Lonchura striata: one gene and its partners. The protein of the gene in region 1 interacts with the protein of each later gene in a pairwise test. Links are inferred from orthologs where the notes say so. Each region holds a gene or a part of one and is shown on either strand. Other genes may lie near its edges.

Region 1 (7,418 bases):
TCTTTTATATGGGACATTACGTGTTACATGGTTACAGTTTTTCCCAATGCCTATTACCTATATTAAATGGTGCTTTTCTATATTTATATGGTACATTACGTGTGACATGGTTACAGTTTATCCCAATGCCCATTACCTATATTAAATGGTGATTTTCTATCTTTTATATGGTACATTACGTGTTACATGGTTACAGTTTTTCCCCAATGCCTATTACCTATATTAAATGGTGATTTTCTATCTTTTATATGGGACATTACGTGTTACATGGTTACAGTTTTTCCCAATGCCTATTACCTATATTAAATGGTGCTTTTCTATATTTATATGGTACATTACGTGTGACATGGTTACAGTTTATCCCAATGCCCATTACCTATATTAAATGGTGCTTTTCTATCTTTTATATGGTACATTACGTGTTACATGTTTACAGTTTTCCCCAGTGCCTATTACCTATATTAAATGGTGATTTTCTATCTTTTATATGGTACATTACGTGTTACATGGTTACAGTTTTTTCCCAATGCCTATTACCTATATTAAATGGTGATTTTCTATCTTTTATATGGTACATTACGTGTTACATGTTCACAGTTTTTCACAATGCCCATTACCTATATTAAATGGTGATTTTCTACTCTAAACCAATCCATGAGTGCCAGCATCACCAAGAACATGGAGGTGAGGAAGAAGAAAGAGGCAGGACAGGACAGGCCCAAATCCCAAATCCATCTGAAAACCTCTGACCCCCATGTACAAAACCAAAACCCTCCTGTACAGCATTAAATATTCTTCCCTCTACTTTGTGACTACTTCTACTATAATATCTAAACTTTTGTGACTCCTTGTTCTTCCTGCAAGGTTGGTAACTCATTCCATGGCTCAAACCCAAAATCACAGCTGTTTGCAGCTGCCTGCCAGGGTCTCAAATGCTTCTGACCTGGACCCAGAACATCCAAAAATGTCTGAGGGACATTCTGAGTTCCAACAACCTGGCACTTGCCAGGTTAATTTGCCCCCCTGCCTGCTCCATCCCGAGTCCTTGAGGCTTCCCTTGGCTCCTGCCAAGGCTCCATATGGGATCCCAGAAATACAGCCTGAGGGGAGGCAGATTTAGCTCCTCTCCGTCTCCCCGGGCCCATCCATTTGGAGCAATCCTCGCCTTCCCTTCCCCAGGAAGCTGGAAAAGGTCTCGGGAAGCTCTCTCAAGGCTCAGGGTTTGATTTATGGGGCAGAGCTGGAGCTGACATCGGCCACAGAGGGAAGAGATTTATTTCCAGGGGTTCCATCTGCCTCATTCCCAGAGCAGAACCGTGGCATGGAGCCTCAGTCTCCATCCCATAATGTCTGGACCCAGACCCTCCTGCTGCAGAAAGACACAAAAATTCATCCAAAGCGCTCTGATCTCTGTGCTGTCACAAATTTGGTCATGAAGCAGCCTGGAATTTCACTGGATAAATTTCATCATTTGACACATTAATCAACAATGTTTTACCTGAATTCTCAAAAAAGCAAATGAATGCAAAATAAACTATCTCAATTTATTGTCTTTTCCTATAGGGTAAAATAGAAAACAAATAAGAAGATATAAAACTACGCATTATCCCTGAATACATTCTAGTTGATATAAATTGTGTGAGTGGAGAAAAGAAAGTCTAATTCTATTTATTTTCTCTGACATTTTAACCTGACAGAAGCCCAGTGGAATAGTCAGAAGTTCACAGCCAAAATTCACCTCTGTTCGCTGGGAGCTCACCAGGAATGGGACTGGGAGAGGGAAAAATGATCCCAAAACCACAAGTGAATGCGGCAGCAGCAGCAGGAATTTGCTGGAATTGTCCATGGACAATTGAGGGAATGTCCACAGCAAAATCCTGTTTCGGAGAACTCCAAGGGAAAAAGGATTTCCCATTGGAAAACAGGTTTTTGTTTGTGGAATTCCCTGGTCCAGCCTCGCTCATGGCCTTGAGTGGTGCCCCAGCCACGTGTTTTCCCTGCTGTTCCACCTGGGATTTTATTTGATATGAGCTGGAATCCAAAATTGGGCAATCCTATTGGTAGCACAAGAATTCAGGATTTAAACAAAATTATTTCCTTCAAAACAAATATTTTATGGGGGGGAAAACAAACCCCCACGTTTTTTCCTTCTTTTGTGTGAGATGAACAATAATTTGTAAAAGCTCTGAAAATCAGCAAAATGGGATAAAATCCCAAACGTGCTTTTCCTAAAGGCTGGAATTTCTGCCTATTCCAGTGGGTTTCAGGTTAAAATGTCAGAGAAAATAAATAGAATTAGACTTTTTTTTCTCCACTCACACAATTTATATCAACTAGAATGTATTTAGGGATAATGTGTAGTTTTATATCTTTTTATTTGTTTTCAATTTTAGCCTGTAAGAAAAGAGAATAAATGGAGATATTAATAGTTTATTTTGCATTTATTTTGCTTTTTGAGAAGTCAGGTAAAACATTGTTGATTAATGTGTCAAATGATGAAATTTGTCCAGTGAAATTCCAGGGTGTTTCATGACCAAATTTGTAACAGCACAGAGATCAGAGTGCTTTGGATGAATTTCTTGTGAGACCCCCGGCTTGCTCTGGGGTCTCGTGTGCTGGAAAAGTCTCTCCTCCAGCCCTGCCCCCAAAGAAAGGCTCAGCAGTCTCTGTTGTTCAGTCTCAAGGCAGTTTATTGCAAGTTATCTCAAAGATTTTCTTCTGGGGCTGCTGTGGTTTGGTCAGAGCTCAGGCAGAGGCACACACACACCCTGACATCCTCTCTGGCTGCTGTCTTCTTCTTCTCTCCCCCAGCCCAGGGCTGCTGCTCTCTTTTATATTATATATTACGTATTACATGTTTATAGTTTCCCCCCAATACCTACTACCTATATTACAAAGTGTTTTTCTACTCTAAACCAATCTGTGAGTGCCAACATCACCAAGAACATGGAGGTGAGGAAAAAGAAGGAGGAAGAACAGGATCAGCCCACTTTCCTCCATCTTAGAACTTCTGACCCCCTTGTACAAAGTAAAAACCCCCTTGTACATGTGCTAAAACCCCCCTGTACAATACTAAGAATTTTCCCTTCTGTTTTGTAACTACTTTTACTGTCCCATCTAACCCTTTGTGACTGCTTGTTCCACCTCCAAAGTTGGTAACTCATCCCATGGCTCAAACCCAAAATCACAGCTGTTTGCAGCTGCCTGCCAGGGTCTCAAATGCTTCTGACCAAGGCCTGGAACCTCCAAAAATGTCTGAGGGACATTTTGAGTTCCAACAATTTCTGTCTCTTTCTTTGTAACAGCACAGACAGAGTGCTTTGGATGAATTTTTGTGTCTTTCTTTGTAACAGCACAGAGATCAGAGTGCTTTGGATGAATTTTTGTGTCTTTCTTTGTAACAGCACAGAGATCAGAGTGCTTTGGATGAATTTTTTTGTCTTTCTTTGTAACAGCACAGAGATCAGAGTGCTTTGGATGAATTTTTGTGTCTTTCTTTGTAACAGCACAGAGATCAGAGTGCTTTGGATGCATTTTTCTCTTTGTGCATTGGGAGGATTAATGGACAGGCCAAAATAAAGATTCGCTGTTCCCTTCCCATGGCTGGGGCAGTGCTGGTTCTGGGTTTCTGGGCTCCAGGGGCGAGAACCTCGTTTCACCCCGACAACAGCCCCGGGTGCCCTGCCACCGAATGTGACAGGGACACGGGGACAGGGACAGGGGGACACGGACATGGGGACAGGGGACACGGGGACAGGGACTAGGGGACAGGGACATGGGGACAGGGGACACAGGGGACAGGGACATGGGGACAGGGACATGGGGACAGGGACATCAGGACAGGGACATGGGGACAGGGACAGGGACACAGGGCCAGGGACTGGGGGACAGGGACATGGGGACAGGGACACGGGGACAGGGACACGGGGACAGAGACATGGGGACAGGGACATGGGGACACAGGGGACAGGGACATGGGGACACAGGGGACAGGGACATGGGGACAGGGACACGGGGACACAGGGGACAGGGACACAGGGGACACGGGGACACGGGGACAGGGACTGGGGGACAGGGACACGGGGACAGGGACACGGGGGACAGGGACATGGGGACACAGGGGACAGGGACTGGGGGACACGGGGGACACGGGGACAGGGACACGGGAGGCGCACGTAACACGGCGTACACGTGACACTGCGCACACGTGACGCGGGGAGCACACGTGAGGCGGGCGGAAGCGCGCGAGCGGACGCACGTGACGCGGGCGGCGCCACGTGACCGGCGGTGCCCCGCCCAGGCGCTCACGTGTCGCAGGCTCGGCCCGGCCATGGCGGGCGCGGTGGCGGCCGCGGGCTCGGCCGAGCAGTTCCACAAGCTGCTGCACTGCCCGGACAGGTGAGGGGACACCGCGGGGCTCGCCCTCCTGTGCGCCCTGCCGGCGCTCCCGGCCCGCTCTGCCGGCCCGCGGCGCCATCCCGGTGTCACCTCCCTCATTGCCATCCCGGGTTCCGCCTTCCGGTGTCCCCTCTTTGGGTCCCGTCCCTCGGTGCCATCCCGGTGTCCCATCCCGGTGTCCCATCCCGGTGTCCCATCCCGGTGTCCCATCCCGGTGTCCCGATCCCGCTGTCCCCATCCCGCTGTCCCGATCCCGGTGTCCCCTCTTTGGGTCCCATCCCGGTGTCCCCATCCCGCTGTCCCCATCCCGCTGTCCCAATCCCGGTGTCCCAATCCCGGTGTCCCATCCCGGTGTCCCATCCCGGTGTCCCCTCTTTGGGTCCCATCCCGCTGTCCCCATCCCGGTGTCCCCATCCCGGTGTCCCCATCCCGGTGTCCCATCCCGGTGTCCCCATCCCGGTGTCCCATCCCGGTGTCCCCTCCCGGCTCCCCGCAGGGCACAGCTCGGCAGGGGCCGGTGCTGCCGCAGCGCTCTGGGAAATCTGCGAGGGGAAGAGAAAAAAAACCCAAATGGAGAAAAACCGAGCCCCAAACTGCGCAAAGGCCGGGCTTGGGCTGGGTTCTGGCCTGGCTTAGGCCGGGCTTTGGCCGGGTTCTGGCCGGGCTTAGGCCGGGTTCTGGCTGGGCTTTGGCCGGGCTTAGGCCGGGTTCTGGCCGGGCTTAGGCCGGGTTCTGGCCGGGTTCTGGCCTGGCTTAGGCCGGGCTTTGGCCGGGTTCTGGCCGGGCTTTGGCCGGGTTCTGGCTGGGCTTAGGCCGGGTTCTGGCCGGGTTCTGGCCGGGCTTAGGCCGGGTTCTGGCCTGGCTTTGGCCGGGTTCTGGCCGGGCTTTGTCTCGGGCTTAGGCCGAGTTCTGGCCTGGCTTTGGCCGGGTTCTGGCCGGGCTTTGTCTCGGGCTTAGGCCGGGTTCTGGCCTGTCTTAGGCCAGGTTCTGGCCGGGCTTTGTCTTGGGTTTAGGCTGGATTTAGTCTCGGGTTTAGGCTCGGACTTTCCCAGCTCCCTGTTCCCCTGGCTCAGCAGGCGGAGGTGCCGCCCTGCAGCAGCTCCTGCCGCAGGGAATTTGGGGCCAAGTCGGCTGGAAAATCCTATAAACCAGAGCTGCCCTGCCAGCTGGGATTGGCCTCCAGCCACAGAAGGTGTCACCAAAACCACCAGGACACTGCAGTGGGAACAGCAGGGAAATTTCAGTGGGAACGGCAGTGACACTTCAGTGGGAACAGCAGTGAAATTTCTGTGGGAACAGCAGGGAAATTTCAGTGGGAGCAGCAGGGAAATTTCAGTGGGAACAGCAGGGAAATTTCAGTGGGAGCAGCAGGGAAATTTCAGTGGGAACAGCAGGGAAATTTCAGTGGGAACGGCAGGGAAATTTCAGTGGGAACAGCAGTGACACTTCACTGGGGACAGCAGGGAAATTTCAGTGGGAACAGCAGTGGCACTTCAGTGGGAGCAGCAACATTCGGGTGTTCTCTGACACAGAAGTGGCCCTGAATTATTCATCTCCTGCCAGGTTCTCATTAATCTGGATTTGTGCTCTGTGATTAATGGCAGGGCTCTGCTTTTCCACAATCCCAGCCCGCTCTGGGACCTGCAAACCCATCCAGGGACACCCTGCACCATGCCAGGCTGCTCCAGCCCCATCCAGCCTGTCCTGAGCAATCCCACTGCTTTTATTCCATATTCCATGCACATCTTTAACTTTGGGAGGGAAGAGCTGCAGTAAGCAGCTCTGCAATTACAGACTTACAGGTGATTGAAAGAGTGGTGGAATAGCAGCATCAGTTCTTAGAGACAGCAGAAGGAAATGCTGTTAAATGATGGTGCTGGGAAAAAGGAACAGAATTTCTTCCAGACTTGCAGCAGGACTTTTCCTCCTGGAATTGTCCTTCAGCTGGGTTATTTTGTGGGTTTATTGCAGAAGAAACTCATGTGCCCAAAGGAAAATGGCTTCAGGAACAAACACAATATTTTAGGGTTATCTAAAAAAGACCCACCAGTAATTTTCTCATTGCCTTTGTCACAGAACATAATTTGGTTTTCTCTCTGAAGGAGTTGATTATTTTATCCATGTTCTTGGACTTAAGGTGAACTGATAGTCCTGATAAACCTTCCTCTGAAAACAGCATTTGTAATTACATATGAGTTTCACAGGATTTCTTGTTTCAGAAAATTATCATTTCTTGCATTGAGTTATCAGTAAGTTTGTGTTGTAGAATCACTGTAAATCTTGATATTTAAAGAGAAAATTGGGCATTTGTCATAACCTTTTTGTCCCTGCCCTGTTTAATAGTGAAGCTCTTTTTTTTTAACCTTGAGTGAATGCAGGGAACACTTTGTTTAGAATTACTTAAACGCTTCATTTTGCTAAGTCTTTATTTTTTATCTTTCTTAATGTTTTCAAGTACTCTGTTTTTTTTAAGGTGAAATTGAAGTGCTCAGCCAGCAGTTCAGTTGCAAAATCTGAATTGTTCTGTGAATGAATTTTAAAAACACAAAACCAAAACAACTCCAAAACCAACCCCTCGTGCAAATGAATTTAAAATATGTTCTTCCTGAATATAAAAATGAATATATTGCAGCTGGATGTTGTTAAGGAACGACCAGACTCTGGTGGGAAGAGGATGAAATAATCCTGTGATGATTTGTCCTCTGTCCTGAGGTCCATCCCTGGGCCCAGGTGTGTCCTGCTGTGGGCACAGACTTAAACTGAGGATTAGGGGGAAAAAAAGAGAAGTTGTGTTGTTTTTCTGCCAGAATTTTGTAGAATTTCACTGGAAAACCAAGTTTGTGAAAGCATCCAGGGTGTGTGATCAGGTCACAGGAACTGCTCCAGCAGCGACATTGTGCTGCCCATGCAGCTGTTACAATGAATTTCCATCATTTAGGAATAAAATACGTAAAGTATTTCTATAAAATATATAAAATATAAATATATATAAAGTACATGAAGGCTGCTGTGGCATGGGT
Region 2 (7,644 bases), on another chromosome or scaffold:
TGGCAATTTTTCTTCTGCCAGTGACAGCTCACATCTACATCACTCCCTGCAGAAGGAAGGAGTTCATATAAAATTCATAAACTATTCACATGGATTCTCTTTCATATTACTCAAGCTTGATGCAGGCCTCTGAAGGCTGTTCTGAGAATAAAAGCAGGTCACAGTCTTTATCAGAGACATGCAAACTCACATTTCAGAGTTGTTTCTTCCATTATTTCAAATGTTTACTCACATGTACAATTAGAGAGTGAAGCATTTAATGCTGAATTCTAGCACAGTTTTCTACTATCTTTAACATAAAATGGAAGTACTCTTTCTCTCCTCTATACCTAGTTATTTGTGCTAGCCCTTAACATACCACCACCTGCAACTGGTTTCAAACACCCTTTAAGTAGATTTCCTCAGGTGATGATGGCCAGCAAGTTGAAGTGTATTTACAGGAATGCAATAGGAGAAGAACAACCTCACTATGTTGCTAGACATGTGTGCTGAGGGTGTGTGCTTGACTGGATTCCCTGTGCAATGGAAATGGGAAAATACCTCACAGTCCTAGGGGAACAGAAAGACCAAAGCATCTGAGTAAGCTTCACTGCTCTGATTTAGTTTAGAAGCCAACTAAGACAGAGAAGGAGATCAAAGAGAAAATCTAGAGCTGTTGTCATTGTCTTGGGAGAATCAACATAATTCACAGGTCAAGAAAAACAAATTTCCTTTGTATTTTAATTTGTGTACTAACATGCCACAACAGAACCCTGTGCTCTATGACATTTCAGGATTGAAATACAGGAACAGTTTTTCCACTGATATAAAACTATACCAAATAATTTATATAATTTTTTTTTTGAGATCTGCTTCAAGTTTAAGTAACAGAAAACAAATATGATCCTATATGTTTCACTTTAACATAATATGACACACTCTTAGATAATTTAATGACAATAGAAGGTTTGAATTGATTTTCAGACATCCTGGTTCCTTAGAAAGGAACTGATGTAAAACATGAAACAAAAGAAGGAAAACTATGAAAAGCAATTTCATATCTTGTATTTATGTGGAACAGGTGAGGAGCTCCCAGCTGTTTTCAACATAGAGCCCACCTCAGTAAAGGTTGTGTAAAACACAGCCATAAAGTTACCAAGAGGGGTGAGAGCCCCTGGGCCACCAGCTGCAATGTGAAGCTTTCCCATCTGTCTACAGTCTTCCAAGTGCACATTCCCCTGTCAGCCTTCTGCCACTCAAGGCAAAGGCTGGAAAAAACTGTCTGCTACCCAAGGAGAAGTCAACAGGAGCCCTCAGAATGGCTACAGGAATCTATATCTTCTGCAAAGGATAGTCCCAAATTCCTAGCTAGTCTGGATGTATGGAGAGAGCTTGTGTAAATGACGCTGAACTGTCCACAGGGCTCTGCTCAGGCTTGCTGGACTTGAAGAAAAACACTTTTCTGCAGGGCTGATGGCAGAAAGCATTGTCATGCAGTGCCCAGGATCATCCTGGCTAGAGCTGCTTGGGAGGATGTCATTGCTGAAGCTGTGAAATCAATGCAAAAGTGGTTTGTGGCTTCCTCATGCTTAATTATCACTGGCAGCCATCTGAACCTGGAGTGCTAACACAGCTAATCCTGAAACAAAACCACTCCAGGAAGGGATCATGAAAGAACCATCAGCTTCTTCCATCTTCTCCTGTATCCTTCTTACCCTGGCTGATTTCATGACTTAAGCTACATTTACATCTCTTTACATTGACATTTACATTTATCAATTTATGGAAGTGGGACATGAGGAGGTGAAGGAAGTGAAACAAAGAATCATCCTTTTTTGTCCTATGTCCAAGTCCTTGGTCATAACCTACAAGGTTTGGCAGCAATAGAGAAAAAAACACACAACCCAAATCTGACAGCTGAAAAATAAAACCATCATGAGACAACAGCCAGAAATTCAGAGCAGTTCACAATACTAGCATGGTTTGTGGCTAAAGAACACAAGACAGAACTCTTGATTTGGAGCAGATCCATGCATGGGAAGAAATTCTTGTCTCACATACTTTGGCTGGTGGCTGTTGGGGGTTGCTTAGCCAAGACATGACAAAGCTGCAGTGAGATTCAGGTGCAGGCATGCCCTTCCACTGAAAGGGTTCCAGTAGAGTGAACAGCTTGTGCTGTGGAGTACAAAGGGTTGTAAATTCCCTGGCTTTTCACACAGCCTGTCATTAAGGAGCTGTAGGGTCAAAGGTATGTTTGCTCTTGGTGCTGGTTATCATTGGGAGAGTCACACTGATACAGTGGTACAACCTTCCTTGACGCAGGAGCCGCTGTCGCTGAGGCCACTGCCAGCATGGTTTCCTGCAGATGGCTGCTGGACGTGAGCAGCTTGGGACAAGCAAGGTACTCCTTCAGGCAGTCCCTTGTCCCAGCCTTGGCCAGCCCTGCTCTCTACCAGCACTCCACACTGAGACAAAGAAACTACAGCAGTGAAAGTTTCGTATGTGACTGCCGTTTGGTGAGCTGAAATCAAACCAGGAAGCAAAATATCTCACGCTGAGTTCAATTATATATGGAGGACTTCTCATCTGTGTGGGTGATGACAGCTGACTGTCCCCAGTGCCACTGAACATTTTTTATTATTGGGCTGTTTGCACAAAAGCAAAAGGTGCACTGGAAGCCTGTCTATATCATAATAATGAGCTATTTGAATAATGAGTAATTTGATATATATAATTGTACAATATCTAGTAACAGAAAAGTCTCAAGCTATTCATGAGTCCCGTTTACTGAGAAAGGAAGGATATACTATTTCAGTGAGTAACCCATAGAGAGAATTTGAGATAACATTACTACTATATCAATATCTTAGGAAATGCAGCCTCTGAGGGGATACATTATACTGTTATAAAATACTCTTTGGTGTGTTTTCACCACCCAGGGGTGATGTGCCCCACGGGCTACCTGATACCTACAGCGTAAGAAGGGTTTGTCACCTTCCACCTCTCAGCTTGGAAGAGGACTGGTGAGACAGCAGCGAGCTGCCCATTCACCTGTGCTTCTCCCCCAGGTCTTGCAGGCAGCTGGGACCTTTGTGTTTGGGGAAGTTTGACTCCAGAACAGGAAGAAATGAGCCACTGCTGGCTGCAGTTCCTCTACCAGAAGCAAGGTGTATATATAAGGCATGGAGTGGGGACAGGCATGGAGCAGAAATGTGATGTCTGCCACATGTCAAACACCATTCCCCAGCTGTCCTGTGGAACCCCGATGCCCACTGTGTCTGGGGGGCTGTGCAGTGCCTCACCTGATAACTGATCTTCCTGCCTGGTGTGAACATTTCAGTGGAATTGATGGCTGCCCTCATCAAGCAGAGGAGGGTACTTGGGTTACTGGGACCAGTTTTTCTGCCACAGTTGTAATACAGGCATGTTGTATCCATCTCATCCTTGGAAGTTGTATCAGGCCTGGGATGAAGAAAAGGAGATGATAGGAAGATTTCCTCATGTTTGAGTTACCCCACAAGCACATCAGCAATCAAGTGCAAACACGTGAAAGAGATCATATATGCAATTATGCACATTAGTAGGTGTTCTCTGTTTAGACACAATTTGTAATTTAAACAAAAGCTTAGAATTTAAGAAAACCAGATGGACCCTGGGTACAAATGCATTATGCTACTCCTCAGCATACATCCACTTCAATCTGTGCTTTGAAAGGAGGCATGCCCACCTTGAGTGTTGCCGTGGGGGGCACGCACAGGCACCAGCCCAATCCCACAGGCTCGGTGATTAACACAGCATCACTCCGTTTCTATGAGACCACCAGCAGGTGTAACTCTGTCGGCTTTAAGGCAGCCACTCTCGCGGCCGCGGCGCCTGAGCAGAGGCGGTGCTCCCGGGCACCTCCAGGTGCTCCAAGCAAATTTCCCTGTCAGTCCTGCCACGATGCTCGGGGGTGCGCCGCTCCCAGGAGCATCCCGAGCCCCGTGAGCGGGGCGGCGGGCCGAGCATCGGTCGCAGCACGGCGGCCCTGCCCCCGGAGAGCGCCGGGAGCGGGACCGGGAGCGGGACCGGGAGCGGGACCGGAGCGGGACCGGAGCGGGAGCGGGACCGGAGCGGGAGCGGGACCGGGAGCGGGACCGGGAGCGGGAGCGGAGCGGGAGCGGGACCGGGAGCGGGAGCGGAGCGGGAGCGGCTGCACGGCGGTGGCGGAGGCAGCGCAGGGGCGGTGATCCCGCCTGGAGCGGGCCATGGAGGCAGCCGCGGACAGCCCCCGGTTCGCCTACATCTTGGAGCTGCTGAAGCGGGACAAGGTAGGGACGGCGAGCGGCGCCGCGACACGGCGGGGCGGGCAGAGACGGCTCCCTTCGCAAGTGCTTTGTCGGACTTTTTCAGGGGAATGTGGGGGCACGAGTGACTCGTCTTTACTAATGTATTCTGGAGATTCGACTAATGCTTGCCACACACTTCCGAGCCATCAGGGGAAAATTTCAAAGATAATTTCCACGCGAAGTGTCCCCCAGGCCAGCACAGCTGGGCGGGCTCTGTCGCGTTTGCAGCCCACCCCTGCTCCGTGCGGGAATGCCCCGCTCCAGCCGGGAATGGGATGCGCCCTGCCCGGGGGGCTGCTGCTGCTAGCCGCCGGCTGCGGGCAACGCTGGAGAGAGAACTGTCTTCCCCAGGCACCGATTCAGAGATGGTAAGTATTTTGAGGAAAACTTGCACGCGCATTTCCTAGGGGAAAAGAAAAAAGTAAAAGGACGAAATCCAACTTTTGTACTGTTGATTTGCTGATATGTGTGATAACCAAGGAGCACCAAAGGTTCAGGCTTAGTTTTTTTTTTTGTTTTTTTTTTTTTTTTGTTTTGTTTTTTTTTTTTTTTTTTTGTTTGTTTGTTTTTTTTTTTTCCCCAAAAAATGAAACAGCCAAAATATTTTTAAACTTAAAAATAATTGTGGAAAACAATAGGGCTGTCAGAAATATTGCTTGTTCCAGACTCATCCTGATGGCTTTCCAGCATATCTCCAAAGGCTGCATTCACAGCCAGTTCTTTGTGCACATCCCTCTCCCTCTCCCTCTCCTCCACTACCTCTTCTAAATGTCCTGGAAGAATCTTTAGACCAGGTGAATGAGGAGCTTCCTGGGTGATTTTCTGCTTCTCCTTGCCTGAGTACAATTATGCCAGGACTTTAAAGGAAAATTCAGTCTTGTTCTCTCCATTTATACACCAAAGAAAATCATGAAGTGTTTCAGGACAGATATACTCCTTGTGCCTGGAATGTCCCTGTAATGGGGTGCTACATCTGTCTCTTATCCCACAGTCAAGCAATTCGTACTTAATTCAGACACCCTCTGCAAGAGCATATGGCTCGATAGGCAGCAGAGTTGGCACAGTAGTGTGAAATATGCATGTTTATTACAAACAGTGCTGTTGTTTATACATAGACAATGACATTGCCAAGTCCCATCATCACAGACATTTGACGTACATGAAGAAAAGGGGAACAACACCAGTTGTGTGACTGCCACAGACTTCCCATAGTGGCGATCACTGCTTGAGCTTCTCGCTCTGAGACCTATTGCTCTCCACATCTTCCTTTTGCCTTTTTTGAACCTTCAGACCAGGGCTTTAGATTACAGCCTCTTTGTAATTTATTGATGTTATCCAGCAGCTTGGAGGTGTTCTGCTGGGATAATTAAACTCCCTTCTCAGATGACATAAATCATGCCAGCAAAAGGACTCTTCTGCATGGTAAACTGTATTTGCTTTGGGTCAGGGTATTGCTATTTAGAGGTTTCAGCACTCCAGTCTTCCTGTTCCCACTTCCCACTATCAAAGCTTTTTCAATAAAGCCTGGAAGCATTAACATTCTTTGAGTTAACTGCTAAGCATCTGGCTTTCACTGAACAAAGACCTATTAGAAGATCAGGATGCAATAAGACACTTGTTCCCCCACCTCTGAATATGCAGGGTCCCTGCAGGTATGATGCATCAGCTCTTCAACCCTGGGCACGTGACCCCTCTTGGCAAGCATGCTATTTTTCCACTTAGCTGCCAACCTCTGTCAGACCTCTCAAACAGGGCAAATCATTATATATCACTTTTCCCCGGGGGAATGTCACTTCAAAAACCTGTTATCTCTTTTAATCATCTGTACTCATTATTGTCCTGTGACCCGCCTTCACACATGCGACTTGCACATAGTATCTAGAACAGAAAATGCTTGAATGCTAGAAATGCTAGAACAGAAAATGTAGCACTTTTAGTTCCATTAAAACACTCTTTGTGTAATCCATATACCCACAACATCTGTTTAGGCTCACTACAATACTCTCTGAGATACTCTGGGCCTCCATGGCACCTGTCACAAATGTCACAGTAGCATCTGAGAGCTCCAAAATACCCCTGAGAGGCAGATTAACAACTAACTGCATTTTGTATCAGAGGCACTGGTGCAGAAGGAGATTGTGTGACTTTCTTTCAGAACTCTGAAATCTCAGTTCAAACCACAGCAAGGACACTCATCTGTCTCAAAATGATGTATCATTCCAGAGATAAACTCAGGCTTCTTCCAATCCTGCCTCTTCCCCACCCCTCCCCCAAATTATTCCTTTTATTTACTTTTGCAGTAGTCAAAACACACACACTTCTAACCCAGCTATTCACCCAAACTCCAGTTTATATTGTTTTACTTTCATAGGTGTGTGTTTTCTTCTTTTGAAATGCATATGATTCTCCTGAAGTATTAACCCCAAAGAATTTTTAGATATTATAAAGAAACAATCATATCTGATGGGCTAAATTATACCAATACTTGCCATCTGTTCCATAAAGCCTTTTGGAACATTTTCTGTAAGCAGAATACAATCAATAAGCTGATATAAACCAATGTGAGTTTCAGAGGGAAACTAACAACACTGTCCCTGAGACCCCTTATTCAATTGAAGTAAGGAGGATTTTTGCATGCTCTATTTTTTAATCAGGGTCATCACTCTCTTTTTTTTTCCTCACTTGTTCCCTTTGTTTTACCATCTATTCCTGCTCTCCACATGGTTTGCAGAAACTGATAGTTTGTGGTTTATAAGAAACAGCTTTAAAAGTTATTATCTAGAAGAAGCATTTAGAGAAATAGACACTACTGAAAACAAGCCCTAAACCCCATATGATATGAACATGAGAAATATATAAAAACTATTTTAAGAGCATTTCTAATTCTGCATGCTCTCTACCTGCAACCTGCATGTGACACTGATTTCTGGACCTGACTTCTGCCTGGTTTCATGTAATGATTAATATAAGATTCTCTTGTGGTAGCATTTCAGCTTTTGTCCAGGTGACAAGAAGAGGTAGAGCTATACAGGGTTTCAAACTGAAATCACGATAAGGAGCTGGAGAGGAGAAATGCAACATTTGCTAGTGGCTGTGGTGGCTGGCAGGTGGCTCTGGGCTCACTGACTCAGCCAAACTGGAGCTCTGTTCCTCATGCATGCTAAAGAAGATAAGGCTTTACATATTTCTTGCTTATGTGAAAGAAAGTCCTTCTTTAGGGTTTGGGCTCCTATGAGGAGAATTTTCCTCTAACAGCAATTTTCTTCCTTTTACAGAATATTCAAAAGCATACCAGAATATACGTATATTGTGAGGGGTATTTGCACAAAGTAGTGAC
Region 3 (7,890 bases), on another chromosome or scaffold:
TTCCCTAGGAACCCATCCTGCTGGCTCAGCATTCCAAAGACAACATCCAGTTAAACCCAAAACCTTTCCTGCTTTCAGTTCTCTATCCACATTGAAAACAAACTGGATTGTCAGTGAAGCTGGTTTTATTCTGCATAGGCATTACCCCACTGTAAAAGCTCCCAGCTGGGTCTGCAAGGTGCTTCACTAACCATTTTGCATTGCATTGATATCAAAATCTGGATTCATGGAGGTCATTCCAATGATAAAATACATTAAAAAGGTAAATAAAAGGTGATTAATTTACATTTCACAGATGAGAGCAGAATTCTTCTATTAGAAAGATGATGTAGCTATTGGCTATCTACTTTACAAAAATTTTTTATAAGACTTCATATTAATTATCAGTATAAAATCAATGTTCAATAGTAATAAATTTCCTGCATGGAAGCTAAATTGCATAAGAGAAAAGCCAGCTCAAAGCATGCCACAGGGTACATTAGAAATAGGTTGAAACCAAACCTTTTTATGCCTTTGAGAAATCCTGCTGCCTGCAAAGGGACAGGTCACACACCTCTTGCTGGGCTGCTGTCTAGCAAGAGCACCTCAATGCCAGGATACAGCATCAGGGATAAACCAGGTGTTTGGTCACTACCCGTGATCAGGCCAAATCTTCATAATTAATTGACTCATTAAGGAACTGTAGAGTAGAACACACCTGAAAAACAGGATGTCATCTGGAGGGATCTGGGCAAGTTTAAGTGGGTTGAGGGGAATCTTATGTGGTTTAACAATTCCAAGTGCAGGATGCTGTTTCTGGCTTGAGGCAGCGCCAGGTATCACCACAGTTTGGGGAATGAACAGACAGAGAGCTGCCCTGCCGGGAAGGACTTGAGGGTGCTGGTGGGTGAGAGGCTGGACATGACCCAGCAATGTGCACTCACAGCCCAGAAATCCAGTTGTATCCTGGGCTGTCTCAAAAGCAGCGTGGCCAGCAGGGTGAGGGAGGGGATTCCTTCCTTCTGTCTGCTCTGGTGAGACCCCACCTGGAGAGCTGCATCCAGCTCTGGGATCCTCAGCACAAAAAGGACATCAATCTGTTTGAGTAAGTCCAGAGCAGGCCACCAAGCTGATTCAAGGGAGGGAGAGCCTCTCCTATGAGAAAAAAAGCTGAGAGAATTGGGATTGTTCAGCCTAGAGAAGAGATATCTTAGGGATAACCTGATTTTGGCCTACCAGTACCTCAAGGGAGCCTACAAGGCAAAAAAAGAGAGACCTCTTACAGTGATCCTTAGTGACAGGACAAGGGAGAATGGCTTCAATATGAAAGAGTAGGTTTAGGTTAAGTATTAGGAAAAAATTCTTCCCTGTGAGGATGGTGAGGCACTGGAAAAGCTTGCCCAGAGAAGCTTTGGATGGACCATCCTTGGATGTGTTCAAGGCCAGGTTGGACGGGGCTTTGAGCAACCTGGTTTCATGGAAGGTGTGCCTGGCCATGGCAGGGAAATTAGAATTAGCCAATCTTTAACATAGACCATTCTATGATTCTGCGACTTTTTAATCAGTACTTCAGTATATGAACCATGTCATGCAATGATTTGAGTAATGGACAAGCTGATATTTAGTAATGGTAGTAAGAGTTTTTAAAGAAGAAAAACACTTACTTAATCTCTCTGGGTTTAGGTGACTGCCTTCCTCTGGAAGAGGAGGTTCAGTTCAGAGAAGGTGGTAACCTGATGTCTCTCTGTGCTCCTTCCAGCAGCATTACTTATAGGCCAAGATCAGATTTAGAATGATTTAGACTGTGTTTTCTTCATGTGTTTGCTCTCCTAATGATGCAAAAAATTTCTGGTGAAGTTTCCAAAGTCTTTTAATGTGAGTTTTGGGAATTGTGCAGCCCTACCCACAAAGTGCCTCTTCTACTAGGAAAGTTTTATTACATTAGTATTGTTCTTGGGATTATAAATAGCAGCAAGTTGAAAAAGGTTGGTTTTGTCACAGTATTTGTAGATCAAGTGTGCAGCTCTGTAAAACTGGATGATTTATTTTAATGGAAAAATATTTGCTGGAAATTGGAAAGCAATAGAACTGCTATTCCTCCACTTCTACTGGTCTAAATGTTGTCATCATGATGGGGTGAGCAGTGCTGCAGAGTGTGGTGTATTGCTGGAAGACAGGATAACATCGCCCCCAAGTTCTGGTAGAAAGTTACAAGGATTTGGGATGCACAGGCTTCAGAGCTGCAGAAAAGCAGCAGACTGACCCTTGAGCTCTGCACAGACAAAATCATATAGTCCCATAGGAGATTTCAAGAATTCAAGTATTGTTTCCGTTCCAACTCTCAGCCTCCAAAATGCCAATTTTCTCCACATAGGCAAAGCAAAGCTCAGGAGCAATTTGGTGGTAGCTCCAGAGGCATGGAATAGGGATGCCTGAGCCACTGGCTCTGCCAGCACAGGGCTCCCATGATGGGCTGGGTGGAACTGTCCACCCTCCACAGCCACTGCAGCTCACCAGAAATAGCACAACTGTTTCCCCTGAGTGTTACCTCTTCTACCAGACCCACTACAACAAAACTCTGGCTTGTCTTGCCTGACATACTGCAGTGTGTCCAAAGCACTAGATGGTCCTGCTGCTTTGTCTTTTGGCAGAATGAAGATGCCAGTCAATCACAAGGTTGTGTGTGTTGGAGAGACAGAGGAGCAGGGGGTTGGACACGCGGGGGGCAGGGTCATCTGAGGGGTGTGCAGCTGTTCCTCTGACAGCCTCTGCAGTGCACACCTATCTCCAGCTTTGCTTCCCTCAAGGCATCCAGACTAGCTGGGAAATCCTATTTCTGTGGCTGTGCAGCACAGCATGCTGTGTAGGATAGTCCATCATCCATCTCAGTAACAACAGCATCCCATGCTGTGTACAGGCTCCTAAAATGTCATCAACACCACCCTAACCAAACTGAGACATGCTGAAGTACTTCAAAGTGAGCATTTTGCACTCTTTTGTACAAGTGCTTATACAATGCATGCTCTGGGAAACACTAGTTGGACTTCGGTACCACCGTTGTGCTTTAAAGGCAGCAATTTTGTACTAGATGTGTAATTCAATCATTGTTTTGAAGGGTAAATTTATAATCTCCATGTAACTGAAACTTTAGAGGTTTCTGTCACCTAAGAACATAATGCACAGTCTTATTAGAAAATTAAGAAAAAACTAAATTTAAGAAACACTCTTTATTCCTTCATCATCCTTGCCATCAGAAAAGATAAATAAGCACTTTTGGAACTATCCTAAGGAGCCCCCCTTTAGCACACAACTTCACAAAGGCTGAGTGCCCCCAATTAGGTGCCAAGGTCACATCCTTGGCCTTGACAGGGCCTATCACACACCTGCAATTTCTCCTTAAATTAATCCATATCCACTTGCAGGTGTTAACGATTTTGAAGAGAATCTAAACACTCAGCATCTCACAATTTTCTGTTTTGTCAGTAATTTGAGTCTGTACCTTTGAAGTTACTGCTATAATTTCAAGAATGGTCGACTAAACTATTCCCTCTAAAGATTGCTTTCATTTCACCAGTATTTAATTATTTATTTTCTCTAATTGCTTATGGGTTGGGTTGCTTATGGTTGCCTTGGGTGAAAGTAATTTTTGGTGCTTATCCTTTTATAAGCATTTTCTTTTCTAGAAGTTGTTTTGTAGTTTGATACAGCCCTCACACCACAGTGGGTGGTTGCATTTTGGAAATCCCAGTGACACTTGTGAAATATTGTCATGCAAATGCCAAAAAAAAAAAAAAAAGAAAAAAAGGAAGAATTATTAATTTCCTTTATGTACTAATTTGATTGGTTTTTACTGAATTAATATGCCATTTTGGTTGAGTACCATGCTCTTTCTCTTTCATTTATATGCAAAGAAAACACATTTCAAATAGCATAACTTCCTTTTAAAACCTATTTCATACAGCTTAGAGTTTTCAAGGGTCAATGTGATGTTTTGTGGTCCCTAACTTCCCCGTTTTGGTTGCCACGCTATTTTTTGTTTCCATCCAGATTTGCAGAGGGCTGGGGAACATTCCTCCAAAAGCATCTTTCTGCTCGTTGTTCTCGCCCCCGCCGCGGCGGTGGTGCTGTGAGCAGGGGAAGGGAAGGCAGCTGCTGCTGCGGGAGTGCCGGGGACCGCATGGCCGGGCTGGCCGGGGTGTCAAGGGACGTGGGGTTTTGAGATGTGCTTTTGCAGCCGTCTCACTGCAAACCCCTCGGGACGTCCTCGTTTTCCACTTAAAATGCAAAAAGAACTCTCCCGACGGGGGATCTCCTGCTTAGCTCCATCCGTCCGCCGCACCGTGCGCTCGCACTAAGTGGAGAGGCGGCTGAGAGCGGGGAAGCGCTCGTTTGCCTCCGGGCTTCCTCCCGTGGAGTTTTTCCAGCGGAGTTAAGAGTTGCCGGGAAGCCGGGGAGGTCTCCCGTCCACCGCTCTCCTTCGGGTTCCCCGGTCAGGAGGGGGGTTTCGGGCGGCTAACGCGAACTCGGAGCATCTCGGCGCTCACCCCCGCGGCGAGCGCCCGGCAGGTGCTCCCGGCGCGGCGGGGTCCGGCGGCCCCGACGGGCGGCGCGGGGGAGCCGGGGCGGCCGCAGCGCCGGGCCGGGGCGGGAGCGAACAAAGCGCTGCCGAGGGCGTGCTGCCCCGACGGGGCCGGCGCGGTGCCGCCCGCAGCGGGGGCGGGGTGACCGGGGCACCCGGCCCCCCTTCCCCACACACACACACACGCACGCACAGACACACAGACACAGACACACATCCCCCGCACACGCACACCGCGCCCGGGCACACGCCGAGACGCACAGGCGGCCGCTGGTGCGCGGCGAGAGGATGCGGCGGCTGCGCCCCTGGGCGCTGGTGCTGGGCGGGCTCCTGTGTGCCTGGGCCGGGGCCGGGGCCGGGGCCGGGGCGGCAATGCGGAGCTACCCGCACAGCGCGGTGCTGGACGGCGCGGGCGCCTACCGCCTGCGCTGGGGCCGCCGCGGCAGCGCCCTCGCCCTCCGCCTGGAGGTGCGCACCCGCGGCTACGTGGGCTTCGGGCTCTCGGCCAGCGGCAGCATGGCCTCAGCCGACATCGTGGTGGGGGGCGTGGAGAGGGGCCAGCCCTACCTGCAGGTAAGGCCCTGCTCCTTCCCCTCGACCGCCGAGCCGGGTCCTCCTCGTCCGCCCACCTTCCCCGCGCTGTCCTTCTGTCGGGACGCCCTCCTTTCCCTGCCTCACGTTTCTTCTGCAGCTTTCTTGCCCTGCATCCCCGTACCTCTTTACTTCTTCCTTCCACCCTTCGGGTTACCCCTATTCTTCTGCGTTCCTTTCCCCTGGAGGAGATACTTCTTTTCTATCCTCTCCTTGCCAACCTTCTCTCTAAACTTCTACATAGACTTCGTTAGAGGTGTCAGATTTCTTTGCTCTTTATCCAGAAGATGTGATAGTCCTATTCTCTCTCCTTTGGGCACTCTCTCCTGCCTGCCCGCTGAGCCTAAACCCGCTGAGGAAAGGGATGGGAGGGCATAATCTCTCCCAGGGAGGTGTGGCACCTTTCCCCTCCTCGCCCTGCCGACAGCTGATGGAGCTTGGCCGTCCTGCTGCCGCCTGAGCCTGCTCTTTCTAATCCCGGCGGCATGAGGGCAACATCCCGCCAGCTTCCAAGCCTGTTGAGGTCCCCTTCTGCTGCACACAGCCGGTGCTGCTCTTGTTCTTGGTGTTCCTCCTCTCCTCACCTGAAAGTGTTTTAACCCAGATATTGGAAAGGACTTACATAGTAACCACTGGGAGGACTCCTGGTACATGTCCTTGGTCTGGTGGAGCAACCTCAGAGGTTGCCCGGGTCTATTGGGTATAATTTTCTTGGGATGTTTCTGTAGTAGTCTAGATATTGTCAGGGCTACATCTGGGAACAGGAGTGTGGAACAGAGGCCTTGCTGGTGCTTACAGCAAGTCATCCTCTCCCAGAGGCACTGGTGGCTGGTGGAGTAGGAGCCATGAGAGGGGAGGGTGCCCACACCTTTAGCCCCTCTCATCAACCTGAGATCCAGCTGGCAGGAGGTGCTCTGGGACGGGGGGAGCAGGGACAGCTTGTCTCACTGGTGACCGAAAGGGCAATCAGGCCTGGAATGACATGTTGTCACCCCCAGGTGCTTGAATAATAACTCAGAGATGCAGTTTAAGAGCAGAGTGGTTGTTAGAGTATGGTCTAGGAGAAGTCATCCGTCTTCATTATGTTAGAGCTAGTTGATCTTTGAAGCTGCTGCTTAAATTTTAAGAGGTTTTCCCATAAGAATATGGATTTTCAATTTTCAGTGAATAACAATTCACCATAAGAAAACAAAATGCATAATATGATCTCCCTACTATTTGTCAAGGTTTTATAAAATCAAAAATTTTCCAGAAAAATCGATCTTTTAGTATTAATGTTTTCCTTTAAAATTTTCTTTTGCTTTTTCTTTCCTCCATTCATTTGCTGTATGAAGTTTAGGCAAATATTTGTCTTCGTTAAGTGCGGACCAGTGATTTTCAGAATATTGCTTTCTCCATATTTCAAAATGAAGATAATTTTTCTTGAAGCATAAATAAAAGACTAATAATAGTAAAAAAACCCACTCTAGGCTGCTCATTCAGCAGTGAGCTCTTCACTCACAGAATGAAAGGCTTTCTGAAAAGCTTTGCAATTCAGAAGACACACCTATTAACCATTAAAAGAAACCCCAGCTTTTTTTTTCTGGTTTGTTCACAGATCCTGTTAGGGTAAAAAAAGTCTTTTTGAGAGGCATCCAAATCTAGTGTAAAGACATCCAATGGTGGATGATCCATCACTTCCCTTGATAGTTTGTGTCAATAAGAAGTCTCTGCTGTTCCTGATTGCCAGGATTAGTTTGTCTTGACTTAGCTTTCAGCTATGTATTTTCTCTACAATATTAAAAGCTCTACTCCCCCTGCATACCGCCTTCATAAAGTTATTTATATGCTGCAATCGAGACAATCAAGTCACTGCTCCATTTTCTTTTTTGTTAAATAAATAGATTGAACTCTTTAGCATCACAGGACGTTTTCCCCACCACTTGAAGCACTTTTGTGGCTCTTTCAGCACCCTTCACAGATTTTCAACATCCTTAAAAATGGCCCCATGCTAACTCTGTTCTTCCACAGGTTTTGTTCACCAACATTCTGTTACAATTAGAAAAAGACTGTAGCAAATGCCTGCCCATAGAAGCCTACTGGTATTTTTCCTGAAACACTAATTTAGCACATAAATTGTTATGCTAAGAGCTATGAGTTATTTTGTTGCGCTTTTGAGTAGGTAAGAAATATTTTTGGTACTCTTTCTTGCCACTTGAGGCTTGCTCCATCCCCATTCCTTTTTCAATTCTAGGTAGCATGGTTTCTTTCAAAACTGAACCGAGGTTTTTTAAAAGTTGCTCAGTTAAAATTTTTCCATACTTGCACCAACAAGGAATAGCCAGAAACAAAGATGATAAACAAAATTTGTCCACAGGCTTTTTCTGGTCAGGCAGCAGGGATTGCTAGAAAATGAACAAATTGTTCTAGGATGTTGTTTCAATAATATCCAATTCTTCCCTTTACTAGACAAATAAATACAGTTAATATTTTAAAAATACATTCTGTGTTAGGTGTATACCATCATAATTTAGATTATTTACTACTGAAAAAGATTTTTTCATAGATAGCACCCTTGAAAGTATGTGGTTTTATGCCTAGCTGAACTCCATGAAATATGCACACCACATAATGAATGAACTTACTTTTCTTTTTGGTTTTAGAAATATGTTTTTATTCCATGACCATCCGTTGGAAAATGTGCATGGTGGTCTAAACTCTTAGAGAGGTCATTTTTTGGTTTCTTTGAAAGATTTGAGATG
Region 4 (7,482 bases), on another chromosome or scaffold:
CTCTAAACAGTATCATTACTGGAAAACAAAGATCAATGGTTGCAATGGCTGGCTGCAGGTGTTCTACCCCAGTTAGTGCCCTGCAAGGTCTGTATCTTACTCACTGCTGTCATTCTAACACCAAAATATTATTTATCTTCATAATATGGGAACAGTCAATGTTCTAACAAAGGGCATGGAACAACTTCAGGTGAGTTTGAATCTTATTATACCTTTTCTAGTAGTTTTACACTAAGCTATTTGTTCCCTACTACTAAACCATACATCCTGTAATTCACCCCTATGTTGATGAGGTAGGACATGACAGAATATTTATCTCTTAAAAGGATAAAGTCAAACCTGATCTGAGCTTGTGCAGGGAAAAATTGTATCTGGTGAGGACAGCAGAGTGATGGATTCAATGCTGAGAAGTATGAGTACTTCTTTAGTTCCATCCCAACAGAGGATTCTCATAGACAGACTTGGAGCAGCACGTGGAGCAGCATTACATTAATTGCACAATGCAGAAGCTGCTACAAATGAAAATGAAGCAATTTTTGGAGTACTGAGAGACCCTGTTTTGCCTGGTCTCCAGTCGGTCTGGGAAACACAGTTCTGCTTTGTGCGGGAAAGATGTTGTCCAGGAAATGCTTTTCATGTTTTAAAAACTACACTCAAGGATTTTTATAACTTCGATAAAAGCGAACTGCTGCTCACAGAGAAAGTTGTTCCTCTCCACAAAGCATTTACTTCAACCAATCCGTGGTTTATTACACAGGTCTGAACAAGTCAGAAATGGAAACAGTTTAGAAAAAGGAAAAAAATAATCACAAAGTTAGAAGCGCAAAAGTATCTGCATATGTCTGAACCCCCCTTATCTGGATCATGTTTTATATGGTGTCACAGTGGGATACATGATGCCACTTTGGTGTAAAAGAGAAAGTGACCACATCTGTGTATTTGTTATCTACCACCACAACAGCAAAGCTGGTTTGGGCGAGTGATTGGCAGATCCGGGAACAATAAGGAAATTTTAGACAAATTGTGTCTATGTTAAAGGCCTCAAAAAAGCCTTCAAAAGAGTTTCATTTTGAGTCCTTTGCCATGGGCAGTTTTAGTGGTACCAAAATGCTGCTGTGTGCAAGCTTCAGGAAATCCCAAAGGACCTGGCTTGTAGAGTGAGAGAAAAAAACAGAGAGCTCTACGAGGCTTATGCTCGCAGGATGCATTGAGGGTCCCTGTTCCATTCACAGGTCAGGGGAAAGGCCTGGGCTGTGGGGTTTGAGGCTGTCCTGGGCTGTGGGGTTTGAAACTATCCTGAGCTGTGGGGTTTGAAACTATCCTGGGCTGTGGGGTTTGAGGCATTCCTGGGCTGTGGGGTTTGAAACTATCCTGAGCTGTGGGGTTTGAGGCTGTCCTGGGCTGTGGGGTTTGAGGCTGTCCTGGGCTGTGGGGTTTGAGGCTGTCCTGGGCTGTGGGGTTTGAAACTATCCTGGGCTGTGGGGTTTGAGGCTGTCCCGGGCTGTGGGGTTTGAAACTATCCTGGGTGTGGGGTTTGAGGCTGTCCCAGGCTGTGGGGTTTGAAACTATCCTGGGCTGTGGGGTTTGAGGCTGTCCTGGGCTGTGGGGTTTGAGGCTGTCCTGGGCTGTGGGGTTTGAGGCTGTCCTGGTCTGTGGGGTTTGAGGCTGTCCTGCCCACGGGCTCAGCCACGCTCCCTCCGCACTGTCGCTGGGTGAGCCAAGGGAAGGAAGTGACACAGGCAGGAAAAGCCAGCGGAGCAGGGAAGGCTGCAGGGAGCAGGGCCTGCGCCCCCAAACCCGCAGAGCTCACCCCGCACAGCTCAGGGCCGCAGATCCCCCTTCTCCAGCCTGCCAAGGAGTGTCCAGAGGGAAACAAACCCCAGGAACCGCTCCAGGTGAGTGGCTGAACCACTGGAGCTCCTGCAAACTCTGCCACCAATCACCCCACGCGTCCTTCAGGTGGGTTATGGAACCAGATTATGGTGGAACGGTCCATGAAATTGTATTTTTTCATTCTGCCCTCACATGTTTACAAACACAGGTCCAATTGCTATTGGAAGACACTTTCATGGAAATCCAAGTTCCTACTTCTAAACCATTTTAATATAGAAGGACCCTGCTACTCTAAACAGAGTGCATTACACTATTCCTCTTTGTAGCAGAGAAATCTAGTGATGGATTTGCATGAATTTGTTGTATTTACAAATCAAAACAGAGTAAAGAGATATTGAAGTAGTTGTAGAATAACATTTGCAACGCTTTTTGAATTTAAAGTATAAAAGCTAATTATGCATACAGACTAAATGAAGGAGAGTCTCAGAAAACTAAACTTGGTTGTTGGGAAGAAACGTTTAAGTTGTAGCCCATGAAACCATGAAACTCCAGACTTAGAAAAGCAGGAATTTCCTTGCCAATAAGCAAGTATAAGTTAAGTTCTGGTTTAGAGCAATCAAAAGTTTAATTCTAGCACCTCTCTTTAAGCTGAAAAAGAAATTAGGAAGCACAAGACCCCCTCCCTAAGCAGTTCTTTATACAGGACATACACTTCAAATCCAAATTAATTTTACTTAATCAATCAAATTCAGTCATGGCAGCTCCTCATAAGAACTTTTTCCTCTTGAAAAAGAGTTCTTCCAACTCCGTTGCTTGTTTTTACATGTGGCCGTCTGGGCTAAGAATGGCAAATGAGAACTCGGGGGGGGTTCCATAAAGGCAAATCTTTCGCGATGGACTCCCAAGCTGCACGTAACACTAGAAATGTCTCCAAGTCAGCCTGAGCACACCTCCCGTCCCGTAAGAGCCGCGTCGGGAGCGGAGAGCCCCGCGCTCGGCGGGGCACCGCACCTTCGGCAAGACCCGACTTTTGCCACTTCGGCCAAATCCTAGCAAATGCACCGCTCCCCCCCGGCGGCGCCCGGAGCGGGGCCCGGCCGAGCCCCGCGCCCCGTCCCGCCCGCAGCGGCCCCGGCCCGTGACGCGGCCCCGGCCCCCGGGGCTTCTCCGCCGCTGCTCACCCATGTCCGCGGGCGGCGGCCCCGCTCGCGGCGGGCGCTGCGGAACGGCGCTGTCACCGCCGCGGCTCCATGGCGGCCGGGCCGAGGGGAGGGCTCACAGCCGCCGCCGCCGCCACATTCCCAGGCCCCGCGCCGCCGCCTGCTGCCGGCGGCCGCGCTCCGGGAGCGGCGGGCGGGCGCTGCGGTGCGGCCCGGTGCCCGGTGCGGCCCGGAGCCCGGTGCGGCCCGGTGCTGCCCGGTGCCCGGTCCGTGCGGGCCGGCCGCGCCGCCGCCGCCCGCAAAACAAACCGCTCGGCGGCCGCCGCGCACCCGCCGCCTCCTGCCAATCACAGCGGCACCCGCCGCCGCCCGCCAATCAGCGCCGACGCGGCGCCCGCCCGACGGCGCTGCTGGCCAATGGGCGCGCGAGCAGCCGCGCCGCCCGCCCCGCCTCCCCGCGGAGCCGGCTGTCAATCACGGGGTCCGACGCGCCGCGGCGGAGCCACGCCCCCCGGCCGTCAGGAGGCGGGGCCTCACAGACCACGCCCCCCACGCGGCTGTCAGTCAGAGTGACGGACGGCGGCGCGGCTCCGCCCACGGGGGCCGAAAGGAAAAATGGAATTTTGTTCTGCCCGTGCTGCACCTGCACTGAAACACCTCTGCGAACCAGGCCGCAGGGCTAACGAGAATAAATGTTCTCTTAAAATTAACTAATAAATTATAATTAAAAAGTCATCCTGGACTGCGTCTGATGCAACTACCGGGTAACTGTTCACACAGCACAGTGTGCTGTCATCATGTAGCCTAAGCCAGGAATTCTCTGAATCGTGAATGTTTTGGCTTGGAAGGGACCTTAAAGATCATCTCGTTCTCCCCTCTGCCACAGGCTGTGTTTAAATGAATCAAATCTTTTAAAGCAACCCCCAGCCTGCCCCCTCCCAGCTTGTGTCTGTCCCACCTGCAGGATGGAATTTTCAGTGTCCTTCCCACGAAGGAACGGCAGAAGGGGTTTGTTGTTTTGAAAAGAAGCCCAACCCGACTCCCTGTTGTGGTCAGGGCCGCCCTGCTGCTGGGAAACCCACCTGGAGCAGATGTTTCAGCTGCTGCTTCTCAATCTGCCAAACGCCTGGCAGGGCTCTGCTCACAAACGGCACAGCAGCAATGTCAAAGGGGTCACGGAACCCGGAGAAGAAAACTAGGCTGGAAAGGGAAATTGCTCAAAAGTGTGATCAAGTGCAGGAATCTGAACCTACACATCAGGAGGAATTTGGGACTTAGTCAAAACATGACAACATTATCTGTAATGTAATTTAAAATTTTTATTTATTTTCACTGTCGAAGTAGTAAAAAGCTCTTAGAGTATCATACCAGGTAGACACGGAAATAGGAAAAGGGATCCACAGACACAGCCACTTTCCCTTCTTAATACAAGCCTTGTATTTGTGGTATCAAGCTGGTAGCTTTTTGTCCCTGTTCCAGTTTGAATTTCTCTCTCATTCAACAGCATCATTATTGATCTTGGAACCACTTTTTGACATGCTGTTTCACAGCTTCATGATGGCTTATCACTATCTTTTATCAACCACTAAATCTCAGTTTCCTTTCCTTACTAATTTCCAATAAAATACTCTTGGTATCCTCCACAGTCTCCTCCTTGTCCCTAAATTCACATCCTTGCACTCTCTGCTGCCACATTTAATCTCATCTCTATTTCTCACTCTTCAGTCATCCAATCTCCAAGATACTCAGTTCCCTCATATTACTGAAGCCTCCCACTTTTGTTCATCACCAAATTTGATTTTAATGCTGGCTCTTTGTGCCAGGATCATTATAAAAAGGCTTTTCTAAGAGAGGGAAGAGCCCACCCATACCCCGGGAGGCAGAAATTTAGTATCAATTCCCCACTGCACCAGCCCTGATTTTAAACCAGTCCATCATCACCTCACCATTTGCTATTTTTGCCTAGCTTGGCCTGCTAAATGAGAATGATTCCATGTCCTTTGTGCAGAAACTTGCTTTCCCAAGTCCAAAAGATAGTAGAGTGGCAAGTGGCAGCTTGTGACAGGAGCCAGAAGCTCCTGGCAGATGGGAGAAGACACACTCTGGTGGAACTCGCTCTTCCCACCTCCAACTGCCCAGGGCATCTGCATTTCACTGAAGCTTCCCCGCATCTTTTACCAAATTGAAAATAGAATGATTTGTCCTTAACAGCTCATCACTTCACCCACCTGTCAAGCCTAATGTGTAAACTAACAATTTTATTTCTTGATTTGTGGTTTCCCCATTTTACAGACATTCTCGCATCACTATCTACATGCAAGTGCCATCAGGACTTTTTTTGACCACTACAGACCCTCACACCTTTTTTTTTCCCCTCACCAAGCTGCTAAATCTTTCCTGAACTGGAATCCAAATTTCTACCAGAATCAGCGCCCCTTTTTTGTGTAACTTGAGAAAAAAAAATAATTCCTTTCTGACTTTTACTGTGTACTTAATACTGTACTGGTTTTGTGCATAATCACAGAACCCCAGAAGGGTTTGGGTTGGAACGGGCCTTAAAGACCCCCCAGTGCCACCCTGGCATGGCAGGGACACCTTCCACTGTCCCAGGCTGCTCCAAGCCCCATCCAGCCTGGCCTTGTGCACTGCCAGGGATCCAGGGGCTGCTCTGGGCAACTGTGCCAGGGCCTGCCCACCCCCACAGAGAGGAAATATCCCATTGAATCCTTCTCTCTATCAGTCTGAACCCAGTTCTTTTTGTCCTGCCATTGCAGTTCCTGATGAGGATCAGGTTGTTTTACAGTAGTTGATATTCCGTGGTTTTCCACCTGAATTGTCCACATCCTTCCAAAGCTGCAGCTTTCAGCAGAGAAGCTTCACTCCTGTAAACAGCACCTGCAGAACACACTTAATTCTTGAATTTATTCAGATTGTCTGATGCCATTTAATATAAAACCATCAGTAAAGATATTCACAAAGACTCTCCAGTCTGTGACTCTGTGTTCCCAGTCAGCCCATTTGTTTTAAAAGAACTTTATAAGGCCTAATAGTTCAATGCTGTCACACAGCATCAACTAAGAAAAGGAAGTGCAATCCCTATTTTAGGGACTTAAGGGCATTGTACAGAAAGTCAGCGACTTGTTAGAAGTTACACAGGAAATCTGGAGTAGACCTTTGGGGCATTTTCTGAAGCATACCTGACTCAAAGAGCCCCTTTTCCTTGCTATCAGATGTGCTGTTTCTTCTTTCCTTCCTGCTTCCCTTCTTGTTTAGGTAGACACATCCTTCCTGGGGAGCTGAGCAGGCTCCAGGCTGAGCCTGCTTGTCCCATGCCAAAACTTCCTTATTCTACATCTTGGACTCCACAGCCACAGAAGGGAGCAAGGAGGAGAAACTCTGTAAACAGAACTGGAGAATCCTTCAATGGTTTGGGTTGGAAGGACCTTAAAGCCCATCCATGCCACCCCCTGCCACGGCAGGGACATCTTTCACTGTCCCCAGGTTGCTCCAAGCCCTGTCCAGCCTGGCCTGGGACACTGCCAGGGATGAGGGATCCGATCTTCAAAGGATGCAAGAAAGGGTCTTGCACTGTTTTCAGCAGATGTAAGAGTAATCTCATTAATCCCAGGCAGTTCTTGTCTCTCCTAAAAGTTTCTTGTTGTGTTCTCAGCTTTGAAAACAAAGAGGATGGAACACCATCACCATTACCCAGCTGTAGGACAGCATGGCAGGATATATATGGGCCCAGATGCATCTCCCCCCCCAGCAGAGACATGAATCACCTGGAACTCCTGTAAAACGCCTGCAGCAGCCGTTCTCGGCCGGGAGAAGCAGGTGTGCCCCGGAGCTTCCTGCTGCCACGGCTGGGCCTGGCTGCCAGCAGCATTCCAGCAGAGGGGGCTCTGAAGCTGCTTAAAAACCAGAAGCTGCTCTGCCTTTGGAATGGCAAAATCAGAGAAGGAAGGGGAGGAAGAACGTTAAAAATATTATATGCTTTTAGATCATTACTTCCTCTGAGCTGACAGTCTGGACTGTTTCTAAAACAGCACGAGTGAAAAAGCTCTAAATTAAATGCTTCTCCCAGTCACAGGCCCCAGAATAATCTCAGAGATCACTTTTTTTCTACAGCTATTGCTGTGCATTGTGTTACCACGGAGGGCTTCTTTCAAGTATTTTCGAGCCCTTTACTGATTACTGATTAATTATGTGCTTGCCACTTACAGCTTGTTTACCAGAGCAGGGACTTTCCCACGGTCACAGAGCAAGACAGCTGTGCCAGATGTTGGTTGTTCCATAATATTTGTCTTTTTCCACCTACGTTCCTCTACATCATTTTATGGCACTTGTTTTGCCACACTGACAGGCAACCTGCTTCACCCATTATCCACCAGTCCACCACTTTTTGCTCTGCTCCAATTTGCACAAGCTACCTCCTTCCACCATAGTGGCAGGTGAGAAAGTTTCTCTGGAGTATTCCAAAACACAAATC

What was found.
Region 2: the proteins of GLRX3 (region 1) and TRIM36 interact in binary tests that used the Homo sapiens proteins (3 or more experiments, as listed by UniProt). The two-hybrid records come from large-scale screens. The link is inferred for Lonchura striata from reciprocal best matches to the Homo sapiens genes GLRX3 and TRIM36.
Region 3: the proteins of GLRX3 (region 1) and MOXD1 interact in binary tests that used the Homo sapiens proteins (3 or more experiments, as listed by UniProt). The link is inferred for Lonchura striata from reciprocal best matches to the Homo sapiens genes GLRX3 and MOXD1.
Region 4: the proteins of GLRX3 (region 1) and MAP3K3 interact in a two-hybrid assay, tested with the Homo sapiens proteins (2 studies listed by BioGRID and IntAct). The link is inferred for Lonchura striata from reciprocal best matches to the Homo sapiens genes GLRX3 and MAP3K3.

The regions. Positions count from the first base shown.
Region 1 is NC_134609.1:31,596,667-31,604,084, forward strand, and holds the start of GLRX3 (glutaredoxin-3), read left to right. Parts: upstream 1-4,277; 5' UTR 4,278-4,330; coding exon 4,331-4,398; intron 4,399-7,418. UniProt on the Homo sapiens protein: Together with BOLA2, acts as a cytosolic iron-sulfur (Fe-S) cluster assembly factor that facilitates [2Fe-2S] cluster insertion into a subset of cytosolic proteins.
Region 2 is NC_134642.1:60,471,204-60,478,847, reverse strand, and holds the start of TRIM36 (E3 ubiquitin-protein ligase TRIM36), read left to right. Parts: upstream 1-4,504; 5' UTR 4,505-4,582; coding exon 4,583-4,675; intron 4,676-7,644. UniProt on the Homo sapiens protein: E3 ubiquitin-protein ligase which mediates ubiquitination and subsequent proteasomal degradation of target proteins. Involved in chromosome segregation and cell cycle regulation. May play a role in the acrosome reaction and fertilization.
Region 3 is NC_134605.1:59,392,277-59,400,166, forward strand, and holds the start of MOXD1 (DBH-like monooxygenase protein 1), read left to right. Parts: upstream 1-4,619; 5' UTR 4,620-4,846; coding exon 4,847-5,131; exon of another isoform or gene 5,132-5,590; intron 5,591-7,890.
Region 4 is NC_134627.1:8,990,359-8,997,840, forward strand, and holds the start of MAP3K3 (mitogen-activated protein kinase kinase kinase 3), read right to left. Parts: upstream 3,141-7,482; 5' UTR 3,019-3,140; coding exon 3,015-3,018; intron 1-3,014. UniProt on the Homo sapiens protein: Component of a protein kinase signal transduction cascade. Mediates activation of the NF-kappa-B, AP1 and DDIT3 transcriptional regulators.